4 linked regions of the Alligator mississippiensis genome follow. The protein of the gene in region 1 interacts with the protein of each later gene in a biochemical or structural test. Links are inferred from orthologs where the notes say so. Each region holds a gene or a part of one and is shown on either strand. Other genes may lie near its edges. The genes, in order: protein PML-like, HIPK2, KLHL20 and MAPK7.

Region 1 (8,052 bases):
ATTTGGAAAAGATTCAGAGAGCTTCGGCAATTCAGACAGTCCCCACCCACTGCAGCAGGGAGCTGGACCCAGACTCCATGCTGGAAAGTAGGGGGCAGGGAAGGGGGGGCTGGACGAGGGGGGACCCCTGCCAGGTCTCATCCCCTGCCTGCTTCCCCAGCCCCCCCCCCCCCAATGGCTGCCCTGCCTACCCCAGGTCCTGGTGCCCGCTGCCCCCCACTGCCCCACACTACATGGGTGGGCTCTGCTATGAGTCCCCTGACCTCCACCTGCTCTCCGAGCCCCCCCATGGCTGCCCCACCTGACCTAGCTCCAGCCCTTTAAGGAAAAAAACACCCCAGACTCACCAGCTCCTGCAGTGGTCTCGGGGCTTCTGGGGACTCATGCCGAGCCCCCCATGCAGCATGGGGCAGTGGTGGGCAGCGGGGATCGCCCCCTGCCCAGCAGCACCCAGAGTTGGGGCTTTTTTTTTTTTCCAAAGCCAAGAGCTGGGCTGGACGGGGCAGCCGTTGCCAGGCTGGGAGAGTGGGCCTGTGTGATTTGGTCAAATCGATTTGGGACGATGATTCGAATTACTGTCTCCTGAAATGGCTGAATCCAAAGCGAATATTAGCTGGTTTGCACCTAACTATTAGGTGCACAAATATGACTCACAAGATAAACCCAGGGATTTCAAATAGGAATCCAGAGTGTTAAAAGCATTCTGGTCTGTTGTGGTTTTTCCAAATCCTTTACAAGAGAAGAACTGCTCTAGTATTTTTCTGTAATCAAAAGCAGAGTGAATGTGAAGAGGTGACATTTTCTGGGTGTCACCTTAAATGTATCAAGGGATGCCTTGAGTCTAAAAAGTTTGAGAACCACTAGTTTAATAGTACTATTATGCTGTACCTAACCTAAGGGATCTGTCTCCCGCCTATAGGCCCTTTTCACTATTGCTGAATGGTCATGAGATGTTTTTAAAAGAAAAAGGAACATAACAGCATAATCAAGAAAAATCAAAATTATTTCATAGATTTCATAGACATTAAGGCTGGAAGGGACCTCGGAAGATCATTAAGTCCAGCCCCCTTCCCCAGGGGCAGGAAGTCAGCTGGGGTCATAGGATCCCAGCAAGATAAACTTCCAATTTTCTCTTGAAGGCGTTCAAAGTAGGTGCTTGAACCTCTGATGGCAGGCTGTTCCAGACCTTGGGGGCTCAGACAGTAAAGAAGTTTTTCCTTATGTCCAGTCTGAAACAGTCTTGCAGGAGTTTATAACCATTAGATCTTGTTATCCCTTGGGGCGCTCTGGTGAACAAACATCCCCCCAGATCCTGGTGGACACTGCTTATAAACTTATAGGTGGCCACCAGATTGCCCCTGAGCCTGTGCTTTTCCAGACTGAAGAGTCCCATAGCTCTCAGCCTGTCATCGTAAGGTCTGTGTGGCAGGGCACTGTGTGTGCCTGTCACTTCAAGGGCCTGGAGCTGGCAGCCACCAGGTGCCTGGTGAGGGCAGCCATTTTTGGAATCAGGGGCTGCCCATACAAGCAGGCAGTTCTGCTGTGAGAGGCCAGGCAACAACATCGCCTGGCCAGAGGGCTGCAGAGCTACAACTGGAGGTAAGGGAGGAGCTGTAGGGGATGGCTAGGAGTCTCCTGGTCCTGGGTATGATTTAAAACTGCACCCTGCTGGGAGTGGGTGGCCTGGTGGGGTTCCCAGTGGAGCGGGAGCCCCCAGGAAATGCCAGGCCAGTTACCACCCTGGTGAAAGGTGGGTTGGGGCACCTTAACCCCTAGCCCCCACAACCAGGTGAGTTACCCCTTGTTTTGGAGGGCCCAGAGGGTGGACCCTTGGAGAGAGGAAAGGGCCATTGACTCAGGACCTGTCTGAGTTTCCCCTGACTGTCCCATGCTGGGGCCAGGACCGGAAGGGTCAAAGGGCCAGGGGCCCACCCTGAGGGATGCCCAAGAGCTGAGGGCCTAGAGTCCCGACTGGCCTGGAGGTGGGCCAGGGCTAGATGAGCCGAAGGTCTCGGTGGGGGGGACCACACCCGAAGGGGAACCAGCTCAGGGAGCTGTGCTGCCCGGTATGATGGCAGAAGAGTCCGCCTGAAGGGGGGAATCCAGGTGGGTTCAGTAGTAGGGTTCTGGGGCCCAGTGGGGGGGCTGGTGATTAGAGGAACATCTAGATGCCATCTGCGAGGCTTGGGCTGCGGTGCAGGGGAGGAAAGGAGCTGCAGATAGTGCCCCCTGGCATCGGGGCAGTAAATGGGCAGCCTCCCGCTCAACTAACATCTACTAATTAATCAATTACCATCAAGGCGTGGGGGGTGAGAATGCGGGCGGTTGGCCCAAGAACAGGTGGGTGGGCCACAGAGATCGGCCCTGAGTAGGCCCCCTGTTACAGTCTGTTTTCCTGACCTCTGATCATGCATGTGGCTCTTCTCTGCACTCTCAAACTTCTCCACATCCTTTTTGAATTGTGGAACCCAAAACTGGACGCAGTACTCCAGCTGCGGCCTCACCAAGGCCCAGTTCAACGGGAGGATGACATCCTGGGATTTGCTTGAGAAGCATCTATGGATGCAAGCCAGTGTTTTGCTTGCTTTACTAGCCGCAGCATCACATTGAAGGCTCATGTTCATCTTGTGGTCAGTCATGACCCCCAAGTCCCTTTCATCCATAGTGCTAGCCAGCGCAGCACTGCTGAGCCTATAAGCATGCTGCAGGTTTTTCTTCCCAAGGTGGAGGACCTTGCATTTTTTGGTGTTAAACACCATCAGGTTCACATCTGCCCATTTCCTGAGCCTGTTGAGGTCAACCTGGATCACCCTCCTGTCCTCAGGTGTGGATGCTTTACCCCAGAGTTTGGTATCATCTGAGAACTTGGCCAGTCCACTTCTGACTCCAATGTCCACATCATTAATGAAGATGTTGAACAATGTGGGTCCAAGAACACAGTCTTGAGGGACCCCACTGGTCACAGGGCACCATGACTATTGACTTCTGTCAACCACCACCCTCTGGGTCCGACCACGGAGCCAGTTCTTCAGCCAGAGGATCATGGTGGACCCGAGACCGCAGTTGGCCAGTTTTGCCAAGAGATGATCGTGGGATACCAGATTGAAGGCTTTTTTAAAGTCAAGATATACAACATCAATCTCTTCTCCCTTGTCCAGGTGATAGGTCACCTGGTCATAAAAGGAAATGAGATTGGTCAAGCATGACCTACCTGCAACAAACCCATGCTGGCTATCCCTCAGGATGTTGCTGTCGGCCCGTCCATTAAGAATGGCCTCTTTGATAATCTTTTCTAAGACCTTCTCTGGGATAGAGGTCAGGCTGATGTAGTTTGCTGGATTCACTTTCCTCCCTTTCTTGAAGATAGGCACCACATTGGCCTTCCAATCGTCAGGTACTTCACCAGAGCACCAGGAGTTATTGAAGATCTGTGCCAGGGGCTGAGCTATGATGCTAGCCAGCTCCTTGAGTACCCTGAGGTGCAGATTGTCAGGGCCGGCTAACTTGAAGGTGTCCAGCCTCTCAAGGTGTTCCTTCACGAGATCAGCATTGATGGATTATCTATAAACCTCAACAGAAAAGAGGTCCTTGAGGTAGGCCTTGTCAATGTTAGACAGACAACAACATAAGAAACCTGAAGGTACTTGATGTAGGACAAGATTGGGAGGTTATATCTCATGATAGACGAGAATGGAGATACATCATCAAGGAGGCCAAAGTGCTATAAGTGCTGGTTGCCCTTCAAAGCAAGTAAGTAGGTGACAGAATGACTTATCCAACTGGATTGATAGACAGTCTGGGTCTGTCCTCTGCCTATACATGATGCTTCAAAGGAAGATAAAGCCTATCCTGATTATGCCTCATTGACTGTGCAATGGGTAGACATGTTCCTTAAAAGCATGGTGACCTGGCAGCAGAGCTCCCTCTTCCGATACATCCGCGCACAGCTCTATTGCCTCCCTGTCTCTTGGGCCCTCAGGTGAGGTGTAAAGTACCAGGTATATCATTTATGCGTGACTTGTACCCTGCTGTCCCTTATACCTGTGAGCACACAGTGGGCAGGGGCTGGCATTTTCCCCTCAATGGGTGTACCAGACTGGTGCTTAAGGCAACAATTTAACAGCGGCATTAGACAGATGGGCAAACTGTATGGGTCTTTGTCAAGCAGAGTCCTGGGGAGGGGCAGAGGTAACATTTGCAGTACTTCAGACTGTTTCATGGGGAACCCTGCATCACTGCTGTGGCAAATGGGGAATGGCTTGCCTAATTCTCTAGAGTCACTTAGCTGATGGGCTTGAACACCTGGCCCCTTCCAAGTCTTCACAGCCAAGCTCCTGGCAGCTACAAGACCATGGCAGGGTATGTTTGCCTTTTAAGTCACCCAGAATGTGGTGAGTTTGGGGCCAGAGAAGAGCTAGCAGGAGGGGATCCAGGATCCACAGAAATAAACAGGACCATGGAAACACTTTCCTGGGAGAGCAGATTGGAGAGGAGGGAGCTGGCCCCTAGCATCCAGCCCTGCCCTACTGCATCCTTCCTGTTGCACGAAGGGGCATTAGTTTATGCCGCCTACACAAGACCCCTCACCTCATGCCCTGTCAGAGACACGTCTGAAATGTTTTGCTGTTCCACCTTAGTAAAAACATCTCTTGGGGGTTATTGCAGTTGGGGAAATTGGGAACTGGCCAAGGATGTAGTAGAGTCTGCCCACACTTGGAGCTGTCTCTGTCACCAGCCCCCAAGGGGAGCTTGTTCTGCTTCTCTACCAGGAAGACTTTCTGCCAACAGGATCTGGAGCAGAATCAGAGCAACACATTGAGCCTCTGAATGAGCTGTTCAAGATAAACAGAGATCCAGGGCTGGTGCAGGCTTCCCTTGTGCCTTGAGAGGCCAGGAGGCAGAAGGAAAAATGTATGACAAGCTTTATGCCCAGGAGGGCTGGAAGATTTCAGACTATCCTCCCCTCCCCTGCCAGATGCATCACACATCAAAGCTGGGGTTGATCACCAGAGGGCAGGGCAGGAGCGCAGATTCTTCTCTCTGTCTGCCTGATACCCGGAAGCAAAGCTACTTTCATTTTTGAGGAAAGAAAACTGAGCTGCAACCAAGCTCAGAAAGCATCTGGGTGCCCCAGAGGAAACTGCGAGTGCAGATCATGGATGCCACGTCTCAGGAGCCTCCGGCTGACCAGGATTCCTCAGCCCCTGTAAGTTTGTCGCAGTGACCGGACCTTCTGCTAGAGGCTCTTGCTTGGGGTTAAGGATCAAGCTGGTAGATTAAATGTACAACAATGACGGAGGGGAAATAAGTGGTATATGAGGCTGAACAGCTCCTAGGACCTGGCTGCCTCATCTCCTTCTGTGGGTGGTGCTGTGGCTAGAGCATGTGCCATTACACTGGGGGTAGGGGATGTGGCAGGGCTGCCCCCTGGGCAGCAGAGATGGCTGTAGGAAGTGTGTGGGGGAAGCCAGTATGGAAGGGAGCAGGGAAGGCAGAGACAACCAGGTGGCAGGGAGGTAGTGACTGGGCAACAGCCCTGTGAACTCTCCAGCATGCAGATAGCAGCGCAGACTAGGAAATTGCCTCAATGATGCCCCAGGGCCCTTTTTGTGTCCCTTTTCAAATCTCTGTAGTTGAGAGGAGGGCTGCTTTGGGAGCTCGCGGGGCAGGGGGAGGAGGCAGGAGAACTTGGCCCCACTTCTGGTGACTGCCACAGACAGCCGATATGGCTCTGGGCAAGCCACTCGGTATATCTGGGCCTCTGTTCCCCTGGCAAACAATGGGACAAATGGTTCCCTACCTGATAGGGGCTCTGTAAAGATGAATCAATCAGTGTCCATGAGACATTCTTGGATGCGGTAGTAATGGGGGGATCTGTGGAAGTTCTTTAGGGAGGTGGCCTGAGGCTGGGTGCGATAGGGCTTTCAGCTCGGACTCACCCCTCAGAGCCCCTTGTGAGGAAAGAGGCAGTATGGTGCAGAGACAAAGAAAGGGGCCTGTGCACTATGGATGGGATGAAGACTGGGGACTGGCAGCTTGTTTGGGAAAGCTTGGGGGAGAAACAATGTGGTGAGCCTGTGGCGAGCGGCGAGGGAGAGGGAAAGTGTAGATGGCAGGGGTTCTGGGCATGTCTACACATGCATTTAGGCATGCCGAAATTTAACATTCATTAAGGTGATTTAGTCTCACTTTTACGCATGCATGTGTTACAGCGCATTAACTCCGTGTGTGCTTACTCATAGTTCCTCACTATTCATAGTAAAGTTAGTTCCAAGTCAGTCTGTGTGCAGTGTTAGTGTGCCTTAACACATCTACATGTGCATTAATGCACTTTAGCTATTCATGCCTAAATTTAATACCGGCTTTTGCACATATCAAACTTAGGCATGAATAGCCTAAAAATGCCATTTTTAAGGTGCATTGAGGGCCTGCACATGTAGATGTGCACTTTTAATCTGCCTTAAATTGGGCTAAAATGCTTTAAATCAGCATGTGTAGACATGCCCTGTGTCCTACACCCTCATGCTTGTGCCCAGCCAGTAGTCTGCTCCATCATGCTCTTTACATGCCTCTACCTCCCAAGCAGTGGTGGGAAGGACTAGCTACAGACTCTCACAACCAGGGTTTCCCTCAGCCACTGGACTCCCCAGTCAAGCTAGCTTTGGCTTGCTACATTGGGCCTTTCCAGATGTTTCTATTGCTTGGTATCCATCAAATGACCTTCTAGCAGCACTAGCAACACCTCTTTCTCCTTGCCCAATGGTCATCTCCCATTGGGATAATATCATAGTATGATTAATGCCAGGTATCTCTGTCCCTTTCTTCTCCCTAAAGGTGGTGGAGGAAGAGTTCCAGTTTCTGCTCTGTGATGGATGCCGGAATCAATCCAGAGAGCCCAAGCTCCTTTCCTGCCTTCACACCTTATGCATTGACTGTCTGGAAGAGAACAAGCCCATGGGCCAGTGCCCCATCTGCCAGGCTCCTATCTTGCAACCTAGTGAGATTCCAGACCAGGACAACGTACTGTATGCCAGGCTGCAGTCCCAGATGAAAACCTATCAAAAAATAGTCATGGGCATAGACTTAGGGTGTGGCAACTGCAAAACAGAGGGGGAGTTCTGGTGCTCAGACTGTGAGATGTTTATGTGTCTCACGTGCTTTAATTTCCATCAGAGGGTCCTGAAGAAGGAGAGCCATGAGGCCAGGAATGTGAAGGATCTTCAGGCCGGATCTCTCGCGGAGTTTCTTGAGGGTGCCCAGAAGCGCTATAACTTGTTCTGCGAAGTGCACGAGGCTCAGATTCTAAGGTAACATTCCCAACCTGGGATACTTTTTCTCCAGTCATATATGGCAGGAATAGTTGCAACATAGAATCATAGAAACAATGGACCAAAAGGGACCTGGAAGATCATCAAATCAGGTCCCCTGCCGTAGGCAGGAGGTTGAGCTCAAACTAGCTCAATGAGGTGCTTATCCAGCCTCCTCTTGAACACCTCCAAGGATGGCAACTGTACCACCTCTGCCAGGAGTGTGTTCCAGGTTCTAGTTACCCTGACAGAGAAGAAGTTCTTTCTTATGTCCAGTCTAAATCCTCCCTCTGTTAGTTTGTGTCCATTGGTCCTCATCCTCCCAAGGGTCTCATTCTAAAGAGTTCCTCCCCCAGATCTTGGTGCTCCCCCTTGATATACTTGTAGGTAGCTATCAAGTCACCTCTGAGCCTCCTTTTACTCAGACTGAACAAGCCTAGTTCCCAGAGTCTCTCCTCATATGGCCTATCCTCCAGGCCCCTGATCGTGAGGGTGGCCCTTCTCTGCACCCTCTCAAGATTATCCGCATCCTTCCTGAAGTGCGGTGCCCAAAACAGGGCACAGTACTCCAGCCTCGGTCTAACCAATGATGAGTAGAGAGGGAGAAGCACCCCTCTGGATCTGCTGGCAATGCACTGGCTGATGCACACTAAAGTTCTAGCGTTTGCCCTGCTGGCGACTTCATCACACTGTTGGCTCATATTCATCTTCCAGTAAATTGTGACCCCCAGGTCCCATTCAGAAG
Region 2 (8,013 bases), on another chromosome or scaffold:
CATGGATGGAAGGATTTTCCCCTGATGATGCCACTAATGTAGCATGTGCCAGTTGTCTTGCTAATGCTCAGCAGAGAGCACAGGGTATTGATACAAACAGCTGGGTACCTTGGCACTCACAAGTGCATGAAGAGCAGACATCCTTCTATACATGGAAAAATCACTCTCAATACATTTCATGCAGTAGTTGCTATTCTGTGAGCTGACTGCATTAGGAGGAAAGAAATTAAAAATGGCAGTTGACTCACTTAAAAAAATACTTGACTGCACATTGCAAATGAAATAGAGTCCTTTAATGCTTACCTATATATATATATATATATATATATATATATATATATATATATATATATATAAACTGTCTAATCCTTCAATGATTTACATTTAAAAAGAAAACAGCTGTGTGTATATCATAGGCAAACCTTCAGCATTTACAAAATGTTTTCCCTTTCTTGAACAGATTTGGGGCCTGATTCTCAGTTATACTAAGGTCCCAGCACGCTACTTTTAAATTCCTTTTAACAGCCAAAAAAGTATGTAAAAAGGTCCTGGATGGAAATGTGACATAGACCCACTGTATTTATAGAAGCTGCTATATTAATGTTTTTACATGTTTTACTGTTTCCTATTACTGCATTTTTGAAGCTGCAACTTTCCAAGTAAGAAAATTACCTGTCTGGCCTTTGCTCTGGGGGTGAGCTGAGAAATTCAGAACCTGCTAATGAATTCATCCAACCTCCTTGAGGTCTCTTTGGGAGAAAGAGGAGAAAGCCTGTACTTCAGTATGCCACACTTTTTTTCCATTTTCCCTTCATATATCTATGCCAGGGCAGTGTTAAAATGAAATTGCAAAGGAAGAGCAGCCTACATCACAGCATCATTAATGCGTACAAGAAACCATAGAATACACTACCACCTTTAGCCAGTTCTTTGAGGGGGACCTTCACTTTCCTCATCCACTGCTCAAAGACCCTTTAATAATCCATATCTGAAGATAACTACTGTCCAAGATAAATCACCTATGCACACCTGTAGAAATAAAACTAGCACTTTGGCAACTGAGCTCCAAAAAGTCAAAGGTTAACTCTTCTGGCTAATGGGTCCCATATCCTTCTTCTCTGTTGCCTAGCTCCTGGAGAACACAATCATTCTTCTGGTCTGCCATGTCCTCTCCGGCTCTGACAAACTTCTCCCATATGGCTGTGGCCTCCTCTTTCCCCCACAGTAGCCAAAGAGACACTCATGAGAACAAAGTGGCTGTTGTACCTGGGGCAGTCCCAGATCTCATCCAGCTTTGAGCTTCCACTGTTACTGTCCTTCTGCTGTCCCCTGGTCTCAAGTGGGCATTCATAATTCTCATCTCTTCTAGCAGTGAAGCATGTGACCTGTCACACACCTTTGGGGTGCTTCTCACAAGGGGTCAGATACCTGAGGTCATATTTCTGTAGGCTTACAGTCGACTACTGTAACCTTACAAGGGGCCTATTAAGCATCCCTACCAGAGGCCCCCCAATGAAATAAATCCAGATCTCAGCTGGGCACACTCTTTCTCATCTGCAACACAAATGGCTGCATCCTGCTGCTCCTCCTAGTCTACTGCTTCATTTGCACTATAAGCATGTTCTGCTCACATGCAAGTGTGTATGAGTGAAAACCTATAAGCATGTTTTGAAATACTTATGGCTGCCCAAAAAATGTGTTACAACATTTTTTGGCATCTCTGGCATATTTAGTTCATTACCTATAATTATTTGCATTCTAGTAGCACTGAGAGGCCCCAGTTGTGATCAGCATCTCACAGTGGAAAGAACTGTATACATGCAGATAAAGCAACAGCTCTTGTTGCACTGAGCCTACAGTTGGAATAAACACATCAGGAAAATACTATGACCCCCATTTACATATGGGGAGGTGAGTATCTTGCCTATGGTCACTCAGGGATTGGTACAGTACAGCTAGAAATTGAACCGGATCTCCTGAGTCACAGTCCAGTACTGTAAGACCATCTGTCCTCTCCCAGCCTAAGTAATTCCTTCTATTGCCTATGATTCATGGTGGACAAAGCTGATGATGCTATTGTCTGGGCAGTCCCTGAGGTTCTAGGAAGATACTGTGGATTTTATTAGCATGCTGCATATTTTACATTTATAAAAAAGCATCCAGAGTACAGGGGGATTTAGGGTAAACTCAGAGAAATAAAGGAATGAAAATGCATAACACAGCACATTCAAATGTGCCATTCTGACAAATGCTGGGCCATCCTCTCCTGTGGAAGACCTGTAGGAAGGGACAACAGTGGAGAGAAATGCATCATGACATGTAGGAGGGGCTCTGGGGCTGCAGATCTGGGGATCCATGTCCCCTTCCAAGTTTGTGGATCTCTGGGGTATCAAGGGAGTGGAAACCTCTTTCATGCTGAGCCTACAGCCATAATAGATGAGGTCACTGAAGCCATACTATCATTGGATGGGTCCCAGCATGGCTGCGCAGTGTGGAAGAGAGTCGTGTTATCTCCTAAGGGGAGCTGAGGGTCTCATTTCTCTTATGCTAACCCCTCCTATTCCCTGAAATCCACTGAATCCTTTGCAGATGAAGAAGCCATAAAGGGGCTTCTGCATGGGGGGGGGGGGGGCGGTCTATATTATAAGTGGGTAGCATTTACCTCCTCCTGCTCATCAACATGCTATTAACCTTCTTTGTGTGCCATCTCCAGGAGGTGACCTGAGCTGTGGACAGAACACGTTATTTATTTTCTGCCCATACTGGGACAAACATGCCTGAGCCATGACCTCATTTTGCAATGATGCATAAACATGCTGGGGGTTTATCCGCAGCTGGTGTACATGTGTATAGTGCCATTGATTTTACTAAAGCTGTGTCTGTTTACACCAGCTGACTATCAGGTCTGGTGATTCTGGTAGTGTTAATAAATCCTAAAGGAACGTAGGAATTGCCATTCAGAGTCAGACCCGCAGTCCATCGAGCCCAGGATCCTCTCTCCAACAGATATGGGATCACTTGCCCTCCAGGAAGGTCTCATTGTAATCTCTAACAGTTAGAGACTGGTTTATGCCTTAAAGTGAGACATTATAAAGTCTGCGTGCATGTATATGATATACGTGTCTCTGGAGCTGATTGTCTCCTGACTCTGCTTCACATCTAGCTAGTGGCTCTCTGAGGGAGAGTTCTGAAGGTGCCATTTCCACTCCTAAGTCAAAATGAAATTCACTTCAGAGTCTTGAAAATCCCCTGGCAAAAGAAGAAATATTTTTAAAAATCCCCTTTTTTTTAACTTAATGTGTCATGTTGCCTTCAGTCAAAATAAAAATCACACCGAAATGCAGGGCTGCAAAAATGTTCTTCATGAAACAGACAAAGAAAGAGTCCTTCCCACTTTCTCACCACTCCCATGCCTCCTCCCATTTTACAGATGAGAAAACTGAGGCATTTGTTCACCCAGTTTACCTGAAGTCACCCAGCAATGAGATGCAGAGCCAGGAAAAAAAGCCATTTCCCTCACCTTTCCTCACCCTTTCTCTTCTGCCATCTTCTAATCATTCCTTGTTGTTTCAACCACCCTGAAAACTACCCCCCACCTCCCCATATAGATGTTCTAGGCAGACAACAGGGAGACGGCAGCAGAGGTGGACTTAGATTATGATTACTAGTAGTTTAGCCAAAGAAGGGACCTTTGATTATAATATAAGCAGAGAATTACAAAATTAAAATAACAGGGCGTATGATTTACAAAATTGGGAGCTGTGATGTCCAGAGCCTTGGTCTGGAAATAGAGACTCCAGAAACAGAGTCCAGAGAGTAGATTGTCAAAGGAGCTCAGCTTTCATGTAGGCATGTAAATACAGTTGCCCAGCCTTTAATGCTGGCTGTCTAAATAGGAGCTGTCAGGTACTAAGCTCTTTGGAAAGTCCAGTCCTAGGCTTTGCCATGAGCTCTGAGCCAACAGACCCACATGGAGTGCAGGACCGGGGCCCTAGCATGTGGATTTTTTTTTCTTCCTTTGCTATCACCTAGCCTGCCCATCTCTCAGTTTCCCCATCGGCAGAATGGGTAAATGCTTATTAGCATGTGGATTTTTTCCCCCCTCCCTTTGCTATGACATAGCCTGTCCATCTCTCAGTTTCCCCATCGGTAGAATGGGTATATAGTTATTTCCTCTCCCTTTGAGAGATCATTGGATGAAAGCTGCTGTGGAAAATAAAAGGCACATGTCAAGGTGCTGAAGACAAATTATTATGATAGGATTGGCATTTCCACAGCAATAGCTGGGTGAAAGAGATGGAGCTGTTAAAACGAAAACAGGGGGAGGGTCACCGCCTGTCAATCCCAATAAGTAAACACTCATTTGATGTAGTTCTTTCAAAAAAAGAAAAAGAAAAACAGGAAAAATCCTGGAAGCAGCCATGTATGTTTATTTTAAATGTATCCTCTAAATATTTACACTGCGAGCAACCTAAATGGAAAGAAAAGGGGGGGGGGGGACTGGAACTTTTGTCAGCAAAACAGATTGTGAAATGCCTGGAGGGACTCGGAGATGTATTGGGGGGGGGGGTAGGAATTTTCCATGCGATTGTAAAACATCAGCTCAAATGCTTATGATCCCCACAGCCAGTGAATGGCAAAGCTTCAATCAGCTGGGTGGGTGTTGTTTTTTTTTTTCCTTTTTTTCTTCTTTCTGTTCTGTAGAGAGGCAGAGACAGAGCCGCTTCACCAACTTCTGTTGACTGTTCCTTTTTTCTCCTGATTGAAATGTGTTGTTAAACACGATCCCACATAATCTCAGCAGAGGGTTTCTCTCTCCCCCTCTCTCGCTTCCCCCCACCCCTCCCTGTCCTTCTGGGAAACTGCGATCCGTGCCATCGGTGCTTGATTATTTGCAAACTCCCTTGGCTTTTTTTTTTTTTTTTATTTTTTTTCTTTTCCTCCTCTCTCGCTGCCTCCGTCTCGCTCGCTCTCCTGCCTCCCGTGCAACTTTTGCAGACACCCCCAAGGCGCGCAGACATGTTGAGCTGAGAGCTGAGGGGGGATCGGCGCAGTCCCCCCTGCCCCACCCCCACGGGCCCAAACCTGGGGGCCCTCTAGCCACCTCCCCCCCCAACCCTTGACCTGTCCACTGTGCATCGCCGCCCCCCTCCCCTCCCCTCCCAGCCCCTTCCTTTGCGGCGGCGGCGGCGGCGTTTTTGTTAGATGGACAGGAGCAAGGCTGGATGTTTCTGCCGGCCCCCGCGCTGAAGTGAGGCAGTGATGCAGGAGGCTGGCAGCTTCGGCTCTACGGAGAGACACAGGCTCAAGATGGCAGATGGGTACTGAGTTTGGGGGGCTGCGATCTCGCTTCATCGCCGGTGTGGTTGCCATGCATTACAGACATCCTCGCACCGATGGCCCCCATGTACGAAGGTAAGGGCTCGCGTGCCCTCCGCCTCCCCCCACCCCCAGCCCTGTCCTTTGGACATCTCTTTCCAGCCACCTCTCACCAGAAAAAAAAAACACAAAACCCAGCCACCCCCAAATGACCACAGATCCCAGAGCAGGAGCTGTCTGTCTGGCCCTGCTTTTTTTAAGCCCCAAAGAGCCCTGCCGATGGGTGAGATTTGCTCCCCTTTCCCCTCCCCATATGATGAAAAAAAAAAATCTATATATCTCCTGACCCCTCTTTCATGGGGTGTCTCTGTCCCTGCTTCTTTCTTTCTTTCTTTTGCCCATCTTGGTCCTTGGTGGGGAAGGGAAGGGGTGGAAAAGTCCATTTCAGAGCCGAGCAGAACAATGAAATAGAGACTAAGATTGCCCTGCGATTGCTCTGTGTGTGTCTCCTCTGCGCTGCGTGTGTGAAATGTAGTTTAATTCCCAGCTCCGAACACCCCGTTCCTTTTGCATAATCTCCAAGAGGCGTTTGCTTTTCTTTTATTATTATTATGATGATGATTTTTTTTCTGGCTGTTTTGCTGATCAACTTGATTTTTTTTTCATGGTTAAAAAAAACCTGTGTGGCTGTAGGTATAAATGTCAAGGGGGGGAAGAGGGGGGGGATTTCTTGCACCAGGCTGTCAGTTCTTTCAGTTTCCAGTTAAATCAACCCCAGGGTGGAGGTGGGTGGGGGTTGCAGTGAAAATGAAAAGTCAACTCACTTAGTTTCCCCAGTGTTTAAAAAAAATACACCCGTAAACATATTTAGGATACATGTGAAAAGAAAGGAAAAGAAAAAAAAAATCTGGCTTCATTTAAATCACCTAGCGTTGTATTTATTTCCTTCCCCTTCTGTCACCCTTTCTGGTTTGGAATTGATTAAAGAGCATTACATAAACTAGAGAAAAATCCACCCGGCTTTATTTTATTTTATTTTATTTCATTCAGTCGTGCCCTGGTGATTGATTTGTAGCAAGGGAGGATTTAAATGTCTGGGAAGGAGAGAGGAATGGGGGGAACAATACTTTTATCTGGATAGGGAGGCTGATAAAACTTATCGGAGAAGAATATCTAATATTAGTTGAAGTGTCCTAAATGAACCAGCTTTCTTGATGATCTAAAGTTACCGATCTGCCTATTGATGGCTAGGATGAGTCTGGGTGGTTTAAAATGTGTGGCTAAAAAATAGTTTGAACTCAGAAAGAAACAAAGGGGATTGTTTTAGAGGCAACAGAAAGAAATATTATTCCAATCTTTTCTTCCCTGGTTCTGAAGAATATGTGGGTTTTATGTAGCCATTGCTATTTTTTTCCCCTTTGCAACTTGCACTGATTAGAAGACGTACAGTGGATCTGTGGAACGAGAGCCTGCAAAGCAAAGAAGGATATTCATTATTAAATTGTGTTGGTAAAAAAGGGGCCACAGTTAGTGCTGGAACTGTTGGGAGTGTTGAAATGAAATGAAACAATGTTTCTCTTTAAATACCTCCTGGAGGCGCCCTCTGCCGGACATTTGGGTCTGTTTTAGAAAAGAAACTTGCTGTTGAATGAGGAACTGTAAGGACAGGTTTTGCCTTTTTAGAAGGAAATAAAAAGTGTCTCTGGTTCAGCCAGCTTTTCTTTTTCAGTGCTAATCTCACGGGGTTGCTCTGCCCTGCATCTCAGCTGGACCAGAATTGCATTGCTCCCTGCTCTTCTAGTCCTGGGCTCCATGCTTCCCAGCAGTGTCACTGCCCCCGAATCCTCATCCATGTCACAGATTTGGGGCCTCATGTATGGTAATACTGCTGGCATATTTCTGTCCTGAGCCAGGTCAGTTCTTTTCTATTCCAGACTTGGACCACCTGCACAGCTAGTCCAGTTTACCTTAGGCCTGACCTGCATCCCACAGTTGGCTATTCCTGTTCTTGAGTCTATCCGAGGCAGAGACGACTAATCAGGTTGGGTTATGCAGTGATTTTCTTAAGTCCACTGCAAGGTGGGGCAAACCAAGATCAGATTAATTTCTGACCTCAGCTGTATGATGGCTCCCTCCAGGTCCCCAGAGTTGGTGCATTTCACTTCAAGTCTCGCTCACAGATTCACAGATGTTTAGGGATGGGAGGGACCTAATGAGATTATTGGGTCCAGCCCCCCTGCTCTGGGCAGGAAAGACTGCTGGGGTCAAATAACCCCCAGCAAGGTGTGTGTCCAGCCTCCTTTTGAAGATCTCCATGCCCTTGGTATGAGGATGGACTAATGAAGTAGGCCCATAGGGCAGTATGAACACAATTCTTACCTTCCTTCCTTTGGGATGCATCCTTTCTCGATATTTTTCATTAAGTGCTCTTTCTGGGAAAGCACACGGCACCTTCTCTAACTGTGAAATATTATACAGGAAGAATAGACTTCAACCTTGTGGGAGCCAAAATACAGGATTCTTATCAAACCTGGTGGTGACACACATAAGCTTTTAGTATGAGTTGTAAGTTACTGTGCCTTCAGGATAAAGGAGGATTGTTTGGAACCAAACTGCAATAGCACTACAGCAGGGAGGGTCACACATCCAATCTCTGCATCATAGGGATACACCCCTGTCCTTAAAATGGGCAAA
Region 3 (7,758 bases), on another chromosome or scaffold:
CGACCCCTGGGGCGACCCCTCTGCCAGGCATCACCCAGGGCAGCTCCTGCCCTCCGCCTGCCCCGCCTCGGGGTGTCCGGAGCCCCGCGGGGCGTCTGAGCGCCGGGAAGGGCCCGGGGCGGGGCGGGGCGGGGGCGGTTTGCAGGCGGAACGGCGAGGCCGGCGGCCGCGGTTCCACGGGGAAGGCCGGGCGGGCGGACGCTTCCTGCCGTTGAGGAGACAGGCGGCGGCGGTCGCTGGTTCCGGGACCCGCAGCAGCAGCAGGAGCCGCAGGAGGCACCGAGCCAACCTGTGAGTGCCGCCCGCCACTGCCAGCCCCCGGCTCGGCGGCCGCGGCCGGGCCGGGCATGGAGCAGCGCTCCGGGGCAGCGGGGCGGGCGGCGGCTGCTGCGGCCTTGCGTCTCGGCCGGGGCCCCCCTGCCTCTGCGCTGCCCTCGGGCCGGGGCTCCGGCGGGCCCGGCTGCGTGTGTGCGCCTGTATACCTACATGTGCGCTCATGTGTGCATGCCTATCCCTCTGTGTGTGTGTGTGTACACTAGTGTGTTTGTGTGTGCTTTTGGGTGTGTGTATGCCTATCCCTGTGTGTGCCTGCATACCTACATATGCCCTTGTGTGTGCATGCCTATCCCTGTGCGTGTGTGTGTATCCATGTGTGTGTGTGCCTGTACACCTACATGTGCCCTTGTGTGTGTGCATGCCTATCCCTGTGCATGTGTGCATCGCCCAGAGCCAGGGTCACAGCCAGGGGAGCTGGGCAGCAGACGGGGCTACCTGAGACCTGATGGTCTCATTGGGCTGAAGACCCAAGTCTGGGGTGCAGGAGCAGCACGTGCCAAGAGGTTCCCTCTCTGGATTCTTGTTTTCTTTTTTTCAATCAGTATTTTTAAGGGGATTCATCTGCTCCAGTTGCTGATGAGCTAATGTGGCGGCCTCGCCTCCCATCTTTTTCCTGTGCAAAGTGCCTGCAAGGTGCAGCCAACAGCTTCTATTCAGGGTCTTGCTGGAGGGTCAATGGGGAGATGCTCGTTTATCTAAATGTACACGGTTAGGACATGACGTGATGCTACCAGCCTTGTAACTCTGGGAAGCCCTTCAGTGCTTCCCATGACACTTAATCCTAGGAGGGACCAAACGTTGCCCCTCCTGCTGAAGTCAGTGGGAGCCGAGCTCCGAACACATCTTGGGAACAGGTTCCAAATCTCTTACTGGTTGCATTTATTAGCAAGTTGGTGCCTACTGCCAGCTAGCTTGATAAGCTTGCAATGCTGAAGGTAGCAAAATGAAAGTCTTCTTGGAAACAAGGTGGCTTTTCTAGGCAAAATATTCAGCTGTGCCTATATATTCATATAATGTGTCAGTGGAATACCCCACTATGCATTTTTCAGTCTACCCACATGCAGGTTTTATCCACATTTGCAATCTATTTTATATTGAACCAAAAGTAACAAAAAATAAGCCTTGAACATTAGCAGGGGCAAGGGAGGTAGTTTTACCCCCTGAAAGAGCAGAGGCAAAGGGCTTATGCCCAAGGCTCTTGGAAGGATGAACCATAACTAAGAATTGAGCCCAGATCTTTTGAGTCCCGGTTCTGTCTTAACCACCAGACTATAATTTAGAAGTTTTGTTTCAAACCCAGAACTTGCCCAGTCTCATAGATAGGTATAATTCTACTTTTTCCTGTCTTGTAGTAATGCCATGTATCTCTAATTGTTTGTGGAGTCCTTTGTGTTTCTTGGGAAGAACACGTGAGAGAATTACGAAATGTTGGTGTGGTTGCTGTCACATCTTGAGTTCAGATGTTGATGAGAGATGCAATGAAACACTGCAGTACAGAAGGGAATATCTGATGTCTTGATAAAACTTAGTTTTGATATTGGCTTGATGGTTTTTATTGGAAAAGAAGCATGAAAACCTCACTTCTCTAAGGAGTTTATCATACCTCCTGAAATTCCAAGTAACACTTAGGACTGAAAAAATGGAGTGTTTTTGAACAGGGTTTTTGTTATTTTTCCTTTGTTCATTTGGCAGTGCTTTTATAATGCCAGTTTCACTGTTTTTACCATCTGTCAGTTTCTGTCTTGTTGTAAAGATCTATTGTGAATGTCAGGGAGATATATCAACAGGGGAATAGAAAATAAAACTTTTACATAGCAAAATAAAGGAATGTAATTAGTTGGATGCAGCATTTAAAGGACGTTCTGTTAGAAAGCAGTGTTTCATTTTATTTAGTTATTTAAAAAATCAAGTTTTAAATCCCTGAAAAAAGAAATATACTCCACACTAGAATTAGAAATCAGTGCTTGGATGTCCAAGGAATATGCAGCTATTACTTCTGTTAACAAGTAAAAGTACACTTATGTGGAATTAGTAAGAAACAGCATCAAGCAGCTTTAATTCATATAAGTCTATGAGGCAATCACTATATTATGGCTTTTAGTTGGGGGGGAGGGAAGGGGGCAGGGTGCAAAGCTGTCTTTAGGTCCTAGATGCAAACTTTGATCTTGAACAAATACTGACCCTCCAGTGCAGTTTTAGGTGAGCGCTGTGGTGCTTAATAGTTGCTAAACTTGTGTAAATTTCTGGTAATTTCATATGTATGAAGAATAAATATAGTGTAGCACATCCTGAGGAGTGAGAGAGAAAATGCCACTCTTCTAAAGAATCTTTCCTCCCTTGGTTTAAAAAAAAAAAAGAAAGTATTTTCAAATGTCCAGGGAGATGTGCAGGTTACTGAATTTGTGTGTGCGTGCCTACATCATCGCCACTATGCTAACTATATTGTAATTGATAGCTGGCAAGATGCTTACGTTTTCTTGTGGCTTATTCTCTGCAACCAAGACATTGTTTATCTCGCTGTAAATTTCCTAGCTGGAGAAAGACTCCATCATCTTATTATTTGGGTGTGGTCAGTTACATTGTTCTTGAAGAGTCATTATAAATAGAGAAAGTAGGACTTACTTTCACTTTTGAATGTTGTACTTCTGTTTCCTTAGGTCAGGAATTGAATTGTCGGGTGAAGGCTTCTCTTCACGGTGCATGGACGGAAAGCCAATGCGCAGGTAAGGTCAGAACAAAAAACTATAATTCTTTTATGAATATGCCAGGTGATTCATAGATTCATAGATGTTAGGGTCGGAAGGGACCTCAATAGATCATCAAGTCCGACCCCCTGCATAAGCAGGAAAGAGTGCTGGGTCTAGATGACCCCAGCTAGATACTCGTCTAACCTCCTCTTGAAGACCCCCAGGGTAGGGGAGAGCACCACCTCCCTTGGGAGCCCATTCCAGACCTTGGCCACTCGAACTGTGAAGAAGTTCTTCCTAATGTCCAGTCTAAATGTGCTCTCTGCTAGCTTGTGGCCATTGTTTCTTGTAACCCCCGGGGGCGCCTTGGTGAATAAATACTCACCAATTCCCTTCTGTGCCCCCATGATGAACTTATAGGCAGCCACAAGGTCGCCTCTCAACCTTCTCTTGCGGAGGCTGAAAAGGTCCAGTTTCTCTAGTCTCTTCTCGTAGGGCTTGGTCTGCAGGCCCTTGACCATACGAGTTGCCCTTCTCTGTACCCTCTCCAGGTTATCCGCATCCTTCCTGAAGTGTGGCGCCCAGAATTGCACGCAGTACTCCAACTGTGGTCTTACCAGCGCCCTATAGAGGGGAAGTATCACCGCCCTGGACCTATTCGTCATGCATCTGCTGATGCACGATAAAGTGCCATTGGCTTTTCTGATGGCTTTGTCACACTGCTGACTCATGTTCATCTTGGAGTCCACTAGGACTCCAAGATCCCTTTCCACCTCTGTGCCACCCAGCAGGTCATTCCCTAGGCTGTAGGTGTGCTGGACATTTTTCCTCCCTAGGTGCAGCACTTTGCATTTCTCCTTGTTGAACTGCATCCTGTTGTTTTCTGCCCACTTGTGCAACCTATCCAGGTCTGCCTGCAGCTGTTCCCTGCCCTCTGGCGTGTCCACTTCTCCCCATAGCTTTGTGTCATCTGCAAACTTGGACAGAGTACATTTGACTCCCTCGTCCAAGTCGCTGATGAAGACATTAAAGAGTATCGGTCCAAGGACCGAACCCTGCGGGACCCCACTGCCCACACCCTTCCAGGTTGAGACCGACCCATCTACCACGACTGTTTGGGTGCGACCCTCTAGCCAATTCGCCACCCACCGGACTGTGCAGTCATCCACATCACAGCCTCTTAGCTTGTTCACCAGTATGGGGTGGGATACCGTATCGAAGGCCTTCCTGAAGTCTAAGTATACGACATCCACCCCTCCTCCTGTGTCCAGGCGTTTCGTAACCTGGTCATAGAAAGAGACTAGGTTGGTCAAGCACGATCTGCCCGCCACAAACCCATGCTGGTTTCCCCTCAGCATAATTTGCCCTGCCGGGCTCTCACAAATGTGAGCCTTGATAATTTTTTCAAAGACTTTACCAAGGATGGAGGTGAGACTGACTGGCCTATAGTTGCCCGGGTCCTCCTTCCTCCCCTTCTTGAAAATGGGGACCACGTTAGCCCTTTTCCAGTCTTCTGGGACTTGGCCCGTGCGCCACGAGCGTTCGAATATTCCCACCAGTGGCTCTGCAATGATGTCGGCCAGTGCCTTCAGCACCCTCGGATGGAGCGCATCTGGGCCTGCCGATTTAAAGGCATCCAGTTCTTCCAAATGACTCTGCACCACCTCAGGATCTACGTATGGAAGTCCGGCGCCTTGCTGCTGCCTCTCTACAACCCCAGTGAGAGACTTGTCGTGCCCCTCACTTAGGAACACTGAGGCAAAGAACTCGTTGAGGAGTTCAGCTTTGTCCCCCCTATCTGTCACCAATTGTTTCTGCCCATTTAGCAGGGGTCCTATTCCTCCCTGGGCCTTCCTTTTACTCCCAATATATCTAAAAAACAATTTCTTGTTGTCTTTTACTTGGGTTGCCATCCTCAGCTCCATGGTAGCTTTGGCCCGCCTAACTGCCTCCCTACAAGCACGAGCAGAGGAGGTATATTCATCTTTAGTGATCTCACCCTGTTTCCACTTTTTATGTGCTCCCCTTTTGGCCCTTAGGCTGCCCTGGATTTCTCTGGTCAGCCATGGAAGCCTCCTGGCCCCTTTCCCTCTTTTGCCTCACTCGGGGATCGTCTTGCTTTGTGCCCGAAGGATCGTTTCCTTTAGGCACAGCCACCCTTCTTGGGCTCCCATCCCATCAAAACTCCTACTCTGCAGTGCTTCCTTGACTAATCGCCTGAGTGCATTGAGATCAGCTTTCCTAAAGTCTAGCACTTTCACCCTACTAGTTACCTTACCCACTCGCCGTCTTATGTTGAATTCTATTATAAGGTGATCACTGTCTCCCAAATGGCTACCGATCTGGAGGTCCCCTATCATGTCATCTCCCGCTGCCAATATCAGATCCAGTATGGCATTCCCCCTAGTGGGACCATGCACCTCCTGTGTCAGGTGGAGGTCCTGTACACAGGTTAGAAACCTGCGTGAGCGATGGGACCTTGCTGTCTGCGTCTCCCAGCAGATGTCCGGGTAGTTTAGGTCCCCCATGACTACCGCCTCTTTAGCTTTTATGGTCTCCGAGAGTTGCCTCAGGAGCCCCGCATCTATTTCTTCCCCTTGGTGTGGGGGTCTGTAGCAGACCCCTACCACCAAATCCCTTTCTCCTTGCCCCCCATGTAGCCTAACCCACAATCCTTCTACTTCCTCAACCTCGGATTCTGTCTTGATGAGGGTTGATGTATATTGCTCACTGACAAAGTGCAACCCCCCCCCCCCCCCCTTTCTTCCCCGACCTGTCCTTTCTATACAATCTGTAGCCCTCAATATGTACCGCCCAGTCATGGGATGAATCCCACCAGGTCTCTGTTAGCCCCACTAAGTCATAGGTGTTTAGTGCAAGCAGGAGCGCTAATTCATCCTGCTTGTTCCCCATGCTCCTAGCATTAGTATATAGGCACTTGAGCCCTGCGACTGGTGCCTTTGCTGCCCCCCCGCTCCGAGTCCCAAGGGGCCCATTGTTTCTTACCTTCTTGTTTCTTACCTGTTCTGTAGTGCTGGCCTCCCCATGGCTTTCAGGTTCCCAATGTTCTCCTTCTTCAGGCTGGGCTGTCCTTGTGGGTGCCACATGGTTTGGTGGTCCACAGCTTCCCCTGCCCTCGTACTCCCCTCCCCCTGACGAGCCTAGTTTAAAGCCCGCCGGAGGAGACCCGCCAACCTAGTAGAAAACACACGCTTACCTTTGGGGGACAGATGAAGCCCATCCCAGCTGAGCATGTCCCTCGTCGTGATGTGCGGGTCATTGTCCAGGAAGCCGAAGCCTGCCTCGAGACACCACTGCCGAAGCCGCCAGTTGGTCTCTCTGATGCAGTTCTCCTGCCGTCTTCCTCGTCCGGTCACTGGTAGGATGGAAGAGAAAACCACCTGGGCACCGAACTCCTTCAGCACACCACCCAGAGCACAGTAGTCCGTCATATTGAGTTGATTTCATCAGTAGCCCCTCTGTAAAATGTTTCTTTTTATACTCTAGCTAGTAAGGAGGCTGGTTGTGTTTAAGAGTTAATGACATTGATTTATTTTTAGAGCACAAGACCATGTGTCATTTGAATATGCTCTTAAGGAAAAGCACAGAAGCTAAATGTTACTGTAATTGCCCATTTTTACTGGCTCGCTGCCTTGCTTAAAAGGTACTTTTGACCAGTTACGTGCGTGTTTTGATTATACTGAATGAACTGTTCTGTGAACTATTTAGCCATATGTATAACTCTAATCATGTCCTTGATGTGCATTGAGTTTGACATTTGACCATAGATTCCAATTACATGCTGAGAGAGTTGTCTTCTACCTGTGGGTGGCAGTTGCATCTAGTACAATAGACTGGGGATACAGCGGCAGGCTCATTCCTGTGTCAAGGGTGTTTTCCATTGGCTAAACATTGTAGTGTTGCAATTCATGCAAGGGTCCCATTTTATCTAGTACTTTTGATTTAAGTTTTGAGTGTCACATAATTAGGCTTTGTAACGCATTCAGACCTGTACCTTGAAACAGGCTATTTGGAGGCATCCTGTCTATATTTGCATGGTTGTGAATGACTTTCAAAAGCTGTCAAAGAGCCATTGGGACTAATGAAAATTTATGCAAATCACTCAGCTTGACGTACTGGCTACACTTGTTGGATCAAATCAGCTGGTGGCAGAGGGAGACTGTTATGTGCAGAATGGTAATCATGTAATGTTAAAATAGAAAAAGGTGCATTACCAACTGCATTACTAACCCTTCCAAATGGGAATTGGAAGGGGTATTAACTCAGTACCCTTCTGCAGAGGTTTATTGAGTTTTATGTGAACCCCATCAACCATAACAAAAAGCTTGTGAGTGCCACTGTTTCAGTTTAAACTAATAAATGCATGTTGCAATACGACATGGGCATTGCTGGAATCATTCAGCATTTTGCTGACACAGGAAAACTTTTAGACAATGAGGAGCCCCTCACTGCCTCCAAATAGCCTGTTTCAAGGTACAGGTCTGAATGCGTTACAAAGCATAATTATGTGACACTCAGAACTGAAATCAAAAGTACTAGATAAAATGGGACCCTTGCATGAATTGCAACACTACAATGTTTAGCCAATGGAAGACACCCTTGACACAGGATGAGCCTGCAGCTGTATCCCCAGCCTATTGTACTAGATGCAACTGCCACCCACAGGTAGAAGACAACTCTCAGCATGTAATTGGAATCTATAGTCAAATGTCAA
Region 4 (7,295 bases), on another chromosome or scaffold:
CAGCCCCACCCCGGCGCCGCCGCTGCTCCCGCTCGCGCGCCCGCTCCTGCCGCCGCCGCCGCTTTTCCTCCCGCTCACGCTGCCGCTCCTGTGCCGTCACTGCCCGGCGTGGCTCCGCCTCTGGCCCCGCCCCCTGCACCACCGCCTCTGTGAGGGGACAGCACATGGGAGAGAGCGGGTCAGGAGCAGCTCCTGGCCCCACCCCCCAGGCCTCCCGGCACCCAGCCCCACCCACCTCGCCCGCGGTGCCTCTGCGCTGACTTGAGCAGCACGGCCTTGAGCGCCGCCTTGGTGTCGTCCGAGATGGCACCCTCCCGCTTGGGGGGCAGGGCTACTGTCGGCTCCGCCTTCACCTCCCCCGGGGCTTGGGCAAGGGCTGGGCCCGCCCTCGGTGACTCCATGGTGCAGTCTGTCCCGGCCAGCATCTTGGCCTTGGCATCAGGGGCCTGCGGGAGCTCAGCAGCCATGTTGACATGGGCAGCCAGGGTGGCGCTGGCGGCCATTTTGGCATCAGCCATCTTGACATGCGCGGCTATGTTGACATCACCCACCCTATTGGGTTTGGCAGCCATATTGAGGTCAGCCATGTTGATGGCAGCCATGTTGACACTGGCTCCTCTATTAACGTTGGCAGCCATGCTGATGTCACCCATGTTGACGGCGGCCATGTTAACGCTGGTCCCTGTGTTGCTGTTGGTGGCCATATTGATGTCAGCCATATTGACGGTGGCCACATTAACGTTGGCAGCCATGTCAGCACCAGTCCCCCTGTTAGTACTGGTGGCCATATTGACGTCAGCCATGTTGATGGTGGCATTAGCCATACTGGTGCTGGCCATGTTGGCTCTGCCGGCCATATTGGCATCGGCCATGTTGATGTCAGCCATATGGGCACCGCTCGCACTGATGTCATTGCCCGGCGGCGTCGGATACACCACAGGCCTCAGCGCGGGCTTGGCTGTGAGCCTCCGCCGTGCCCGAAAGTCCTCGATCTCGGCCAAAATGGCAGCCTCCACCTCCTCTTTGGTGAGCACCTCGCGGTCGAAAGCAAAGTCGAAGGCTGGCACACACTCGGGCTCATCCTCAGGGTCATGGTACTTGGCAAGGTAGGGGTGGGCCAGCGCGTCCACCACCGTGATGCGCCGAGCTGGGTCCAGTTGCAGCATGCGGGCCAGGAGGTCGAGCGCCGGCGCCTCAGCCTGCGGGTAGAGTGCGTGCAGCGGCACAGCCTGGCGCGGTGGCAGCCCCTGCACATAGCGCCGCACTCGCTCAGCGCCGATGGCACCCACCACCTTGGCCGAGGGCGTCCCCAGGACCCCCAGGATGAGTTGCAGCTGGTGCAGATAGTTCTTGCCAGGGAAGAGCTGGCGCCGGCCCATCATCTCGGCGAAGATGCAGCCGACCGACCAGACGTCAATGGCCTGGGTGTAGTGATGCAGCGAGAGCAGCAGCTCGGGTGCGCGGTACCAGCGCGTGGCCACGTACTCTGTCATGAAGGCGGCGTGCTCCTCAGGTCGTGCCGCCAGGCCCCGCGCCATGCCGAAGTCGCCGATCTTCAGCTCGCAGGTGGCGTTGACCAGCAGGTTGCTGGGCTTGAGGTCGCGATGCAGCACGTGGGCGGAGTGCACGTACTTCAGCCCCCGCAGCAGCTGGTACAGGAAGTAGCGCACGTGCTCGGGTGTCAGCGCCTGCCCCGACTGGATGATCTGGTGCAGGTCGCTCTCCATCAGGTCCAGCACCACATAGCTGCAGGCAGGAAAGGACCCAGGCGTCCGGGTGGGGCAAAGCTCCTTGGGGAGACCTGGCCAGGGCCAGAGGACCCAGGGGTCTGGCTCCCAGCCTCCTCACCCCACCCTAGAGGACCTAGGGGCCTGGATTCCCATAATGCCCCGATGCCACCCCCCACACCCAAGAGCTCAGGCATCCAGGCCCCAACACCCCTGGTCTCAGCCCCGCACCCCAGGGAACCGAGGCGTCCAGGCCTCTGGCCCACAGCGGGCGCGGGTGCCTGGGCGGCGGGGGCCATACACGGCGCGGAAGTCAGGGCGGGGCCCGGGCGGCGTGAGGATGTCCTTGATGGCGATGATGTTGTCGTGGTTGAAGTGCTTCAGGATCTTGAGCTCCCGCAGGGTCCTCTTGGCGCTCGTCACCACCGCGAAGGCGTTCGGGATCTTCTTGATGGCCACCTGCTGCCCTGTGGGGAGGGGGGCGTGGGACCCAGGCGTCTGGGGGTAGCGAGGTGCCCGGGGGGGGGCCCCAGGCATCAGGCGGAGGGGACGCAGGGACCCAGGCGCGGGGTGGGTCCCGGGTGCTCGGCAGAGGGACGGGGGTACCTGTGGCGCGGCGGCGGGCGGAGCTGACCACGCCGTAGGCGCCCGTGCCGATGGTCTCGATGACCTCGTAGTCGTCGCCCACCTCGAAGGTGACGTCGAGCGAGCGCTCCCGCAGCAGCGCCAGCCCCGCCCCCGCCCGGGTGCCCGCGTCGCCCGCCGCCTCCGCCATCGTGCCTGAGGGGAGGGTGGCTCAGTGCGGGCGGGGCTGCGACGGGAGGCAAGTGGGGGGCCCAGGTGTCCAGGAGGGGCGGGGCCAGGGGAGGGGGCGGGGCCAGGATCCCAGGGGAGGGGCAGGCCCAGAAGACCGGGGCGTCCGAGGGCCGGGGTGGGGCTCAGGTGTCCGAGGGTGGGGGGGATGATGTGGGCACCCCAGGCGCCCGCGGGGGCGGGGCTGGTCTCCATGGCGACGCTCACCCGCTCCCCGTCCTGCTGCCGCCGCCGCTACCCGGGGCCCCGCCCCCGCGGGCCCCGCCCCAGCCAATCAGGGTGCGGCCCGCGGTGTAGAACGGGACTTCCGCCAGGGGGCCAATGGCAACACACCCCGGCCCCCGGAGGTCCCGCCTCTTCCGCCAATCAGGCCCCTCCTTTCCGGCGGTGACGGCCAATCGGGGCCAAGGGAGCAGCGCGGCGTGGGTGCGGGGGGATTAAAAGGGCCGAGGCGCAGGGAGGGATCCTAGGCCTCCGGCAGCTGCGACATCGCTGCTACGTCATCAGCAGCCGACACCTGCCTGCCACCCCTGGGGGACCCCCCGCGCCGCCTGCGGTCCTTGCCCCGCCCCCTCCCGCGTCACGCGACCGCGCCGCCCAGCGCCCCGCCCCCGCGCCCCACGACGCCGGCACGGAGCGAGCCACCGCCGCGCTGCCGTCAGCAGGACTTTAATGAGGAGACACGAGCGCACCGCACCGCACCGCCCGCCACCGCCGCGCTGCTGCTGGAGGCTCCCCGGGAGCTCGCACGGAGGTCGAAGGACACAGGTCCTCGGCCCGGTGCCCTCGCCCGCCGCCGCCACTCTGCCCCGCGCCGCCGCCGCGCCCCGTCAGGCTCGCCACGCGCAGAGCGGAGCGGGGCGGCGACCCAGGCGGCTCTCCCCGCCCCGCCCCGCCCCGCCGTCCTGTCCCGGGCGCTGGCGGTGGTGGTGGCAGTGCACAGGGCGGGCGACAGGAGCACGCGGCGCCGTGCGGCGTCTCTACCGGCCCGGCCCCGTCTCCCCTCCGCGTCCTACCCCTACTTGCCCCACGGCCTACTCTGCCCCCCCAGCTACCCTCCCCTGCCCTCCGGCGGGGCACACCCCCGCCCGCCCGCCCGCCCGGCCCGGCGCCCTCACGGCCCGTCCCCCACGTGGTTCCTTAGGTGCCGCAGCAGCACGGAGTCCTCCCGCAGGCGCTTCCGCCCCGCGCCGGCCCCTCGCGGCCCCGGCCCCTGGCCCCCGCCCTGGGCACGGGGCTCTGGAGCCGGGTCCCCTCCGTCGTCCCCGAAGGCGGTGGAGACGGCGAGGCAAGGGTCGTGACCCGGGAAGCTCTCGCGGCGCCGGAGGGCGGCCATCTTGGCGGGGCGGGCAGCCATCTTGGGGGTCTCCCGCCGTGCCCCGGTGCTACCGAGCCGCTGGCGGATGTGGTCGCGCTGGTGCTGAGTCAGCGCCGCGATGTCCCCGAAGGTCCGGGAGCAGTCAGGGCAGGAGAAGAGCTTCTCGCGCATGTGGCCGATGTGGTGGCGCGCCAGGTCCGCCGCGTCGCGGCACAGCTCCCCGCACCCGGGGCACGGCGCAGGGGCCCCCCCGGGCTCCCGGCGTGGGGGCGGGGGCAGGAGGTCTGCAAACGTCCCCTCTAAGAGCTCCTGGGGTCGGCTCCCCCTGTCCTCGACCTCTCCGGGCACCGGGGATCCTACCATCGTGGGCAGCCAGCACGACGCTGGTGCTGTCAGTCGGTCTCCAAAGCTTTCCCCACATCCATCGCAGATGAGGCCACATTGGTCAGGGCTTGATGGGCTTCCAGGTTGGGCCTGCCGGGCTTCCCCAGCTGCCACAAGAGCCCCTGCTTGCCCCCTCTCCAAGGGGCAAGACTTGGGAGCGTCCAGATGTTGTGTCAACGTTGCGTGGTCTCCAAAAGTCTCCCCGCATGCGTTGCAAATGAGACTGGATTGGATCTTCGGAGCTTGGTCGGGCCCCACGGGACTATCCGATTGGGCCTGGCTGGACCCCAATGGGCTCTCTGACTGGGGCCCTGGTGTGGCCTGGCAAGACTCATGAATGTCCAGGTGTTGCGTCAACGTTGAGTGGTCTCCACCGGTCCCTCCGTCGCTGGGCTGGAGGTCGTGGCCTTCCCGTGACCTCCGGGGACCCCTTGATTGGATCTTCTGGACCTCGCTGACCCCACAGGGACCTCCCGGTTGGATCTGGCTGGACTCCACGGCATCACCGGGCAGGATCTCCTGGACTTCCCCCGACTCCTGGACAGCCCCAGGTGGGATCTCCCGGTCCCGATCAGGGCCCGGCCTCTCCCGGCAATCCTGGTGGGTATCCAGGTGCCGTGTCAACGCCACCTGGTCCCCAAAGCTCTGCCCGCACCCGCCACAGATGAGCACGGCTGGCGCCTCGTCGTCCTCTTCCTCCACCGCCTCGCCGTGCTGCCCACGGCGGTGCTGGCGCAGCTCCTCAGGCCGGGCAAAGCGGTCGCCACAGGACCGGCAGACGTGGGGCCGCTCCTCCATGTGGATGCGCTCGTGGGTGATGAGGTTGGAGCTCTGGGAGAAGCGCTTGCCGCACTCGCGGCACCGGTACGGTTTCTCGCCCGTGTGCGTGCGGCGGTGCTGGACCAGGTGGGAGCTGCGCACAAAGCTCTTCCCGCAGTCGGGGCACTGGTAGGGCTTCTCCCCCGTGTGGATGCGCTGGTGCCGGATGAGGGTGGAGCTCATGCCGAAGGCCTTGCCGCAGTCCCCGCAGCGGTATGGCTTCTCCCCGCGGTGGATGCGGAGGTGCAGGGTGAGGTTGGAGGCCAGGCTGAAGCTCTGTCCACATTCGGCACAGGCGTGGGGCCGGGCCTCCGTGTGGCTGCGCTGGTGCCGGGCCAGAGCCGAGCTGAGCCCGAAGGTCTTGCGGCAGGTGGGGCACTGGTAGGGCTCCACCCCCATGTGCAGGCGCTGGTGCTTGACCAGCGTGGCGCTGTGCCCAAAGGACTTGCGGCACGTGGGGCACTCGTACGGCTTCTCGCCCGTGTGCGTGCGCTGGTGCTGGATGAGCTCCGAGCTCTGGATGAAGGTCTTGCCGCAGTCGCCACAGCGGAAGGGCTTCTCGCCGGCGTGGATCTTGCGGTGCTTCACCAGATTAGCGCTCTGCGTAAAGCCCTTGCCGCAGGTCGGGCACTTGAAGGGCCGCTCGCCCGAGTGCGTGGCCTGGTGCTGCAGCAGGTCCGAGCTGCGGTAGAAGCTCTTGGGGCAGGCGGCGCAGCGGTACGGCTTCTCGCCCGTGTGCGACCGCTGGTGCTGGTGGGGGGGGAGATGGGGGGGGTGTTCAGGTCGAGAATCCAGGCTCCCAGCGCCCCTGCTCCTGCCCCCCTGCACCCGAGAACCCAGGGGTCCGGGCTCCCTGCCCCCACCCCCCCACATATGGGCTCCCAGCCCCACTGGTCTCACCCCGCTCCCACCCCACAGAACCCAGGCATCCAGACTCCCAGCCCCACTGCTCCCCCCCAGATAACCTCAGTGCTGGGTCCTACGGATGTGACCCACACTCTCCGGGAAAGGCTGGCGGGTTGGGAGCCTGGCTCACCTGGAAGAGGCGGGGGTCAAAAGCCCGGACACCTGGGTCCCCCACAGGCCATCAGAGTGGAGCCCGCATGCCTGGGACCCCCCGGCCCAGCCCTACCTTGATGAGGTTGGTGCTCTGGCTGAAGGCCTTGCCGCAGTCACGGCACTGGTAGGGCTTCTCACCGGTGTGGGTGCGCAGGTGCTGGGCCAGGTTGGAGCTCCAGCTGAAGGCCTTGGCGCAATGGGCGCAGCGGTACGGCTTCTCGCCCGTGTGCGTGCGCCGGTGCTGGACCAGGTGCGAGCTCTGCGTGAAGCCCTTGCCGCAGTCGGGGCAGGTGTTGGGGCGCTCGCCCGTGTGCACCCGCCGGTGCCGCTGCAGCTTCGACCACTGCCCAAAGGCCTTGCCGCAGTCCCCGCACGCGAAGGGGCGCTCTCCCGGGCCCCGCCGTGACCCGGTGCCCGGGGCCGGGGGGGTGGGGGCGGCCACCGCGGGCCATGGCTCTGCAAGGGAGACAGGCACAGTCAGGGAGAAACGGAGGGAGACAAGGGCAGACAGAGAGGGACATCTAGTAGATGGAGACACATGCAGACAGACAGACAGGCAGCCTCTACACAAGCATTTACTGTGGAGTAAAGTGCTGCAGGTAGATACCGAAGAGCAAACTGCTGCAGGGTAAGCGGGGATAAGCTGGCATCTACACGGGCCTGTGTTAAAGCGTGTTAATGCCATGTCTGGACTGGCATGGGACTCAGGTTAGTCCCACATCAGTCCACACACACTACTGGGTTACTGCACAGTAAGGCGTCTACACGTGCGTTACTGTGCAGTCACAACTCGAGTGTCAATTTGATCCCTGTGTGATGCAGGGCTCACACTGCCGCCCACGTTGGTGTAAGTTGTCCGAGGCCCTGCGCAGTACGGGCGTGCGTGTGTGGTTGCACGCCTGCACTGCACGGTCGTTCTCGGTTACCAAAATTAAAGCGCAGTAAGTGTGGATGGATACACCTGCAGATGTGGAATAGGCGGATGGAGACAGAGGTGCAGAGAGACGGGCGGACGGACGTGTCGCGGGGGGAGACGCATCGAGACAGTGACATCGAATAGACGGACACCCAGAGAGGGACGGACAGACAGATGCAGAGAGACACGCAGGCGGAGACAGACGGACACGCTGCAGACGGGGGACGCCGAACGGATGGACACAGAGCGAGAGAGATGG

The links.
Region 2: of the proteins of protein PML-like (region 1) and HIPK2, one has a biochemical effect on the other in vitro, tested with the Homo sapiens proteins (2 studies listed by BioGRID). The link is inferred for Alligator mississippiensis from reciprocal best matches to the Homo sapiens genes PML and HIPK2.
Region 3: the proteins of protein PML-like (region 1) and KLHL20 form a complex in vitro, tested with the Homo sapiens proteins (3 studies listed by BioGRID and IntAct, with this or other methods). The link is inferred for Alligator mississippiensis from reciprocal best matches to the Homo sapiens genes PML and KLHL20.
Region 4: the proteins of protein PML-like (region 1) and MAPK7 form a complex in vitro, tested with the Homo sapiens proteins (2 studies listed by BioGRID and IntAct, with this or other methods). The link is inferred for Alligator mississippiensis from reciprocal best matches to the Homo sapiens genes PML and MAPK7.

Annotation. Positions count from the first base shown.
Region 1 is NC_081834.1:42,410,599-42,418,650, forward strand, and holds the start of protein PML-like, read left to right. Parts: upstream 1-5,029; 5' UTR 5,030-5,155; coding exon 5,156-5,206; intron 5,207-6,834; coding exon 6,835-7,307; intron 7,308-8,052.
Region 2 is NC_081827.1:108,358,218-108,366,230, forward strand, and holds the start of HIPK2 (homeodomain-interacting protein kinase 2), read left to right. Parts: upstream 1-4,944; 5' UTR 4,945-5,396; coding exon 5,397-5,415; intron 5,416-8,013.
Region 3 is NC_081828.1:47,801,993-47,809,750, forward strand, and holds the start of KLHL20 (kelch-like protein 20), read left to right. Parts: upstream 1-4,627; 5' UTR 4,628-4,701; coding exon 4,702-4,742; intron 4,743-7,758. UniProt on the Homo sapiens protein: Substrate-specific adapter of a BCR (BTB-CUL3-RBX1) E3 ubiquitin-protein ligase complex involved in interferon response and anterograde Golgi to endosome transport.
Region 4 is NC_081830.1:449,119-456,413, forward strand, and holds the start of MAPK7 (mitogen-activated protein kinase 7), read right to left. Parts: upstream 3,113-7,295; 5' UTR 2,748-3,112; exon of another isoform or gene 2,508-2,747; 5' UTR 2,503-2,507; coding exon 2,334-2,502; intron 2,195-2,333; coding exon 2,029-2,194; exon of another isoform or gene 2,027-2,028; coding exon of another isoform or gene 1,959-2,026; intron 1,747-1,958; coding exon 236-1,746; intron 148-235; coding exon 1-147. Other genes in the region: uncharacterized protein LOC106739355, read right to left, coding at 3,655-5,811, 6,194-6,576, 6,962-7,081. UniProt on the Homo sapiens protein: Plays a role in various cellular processes such as proliferation, differentiation and cell survival. The upstream activator of MAPK7 is the MAPK kinase MAP2K5.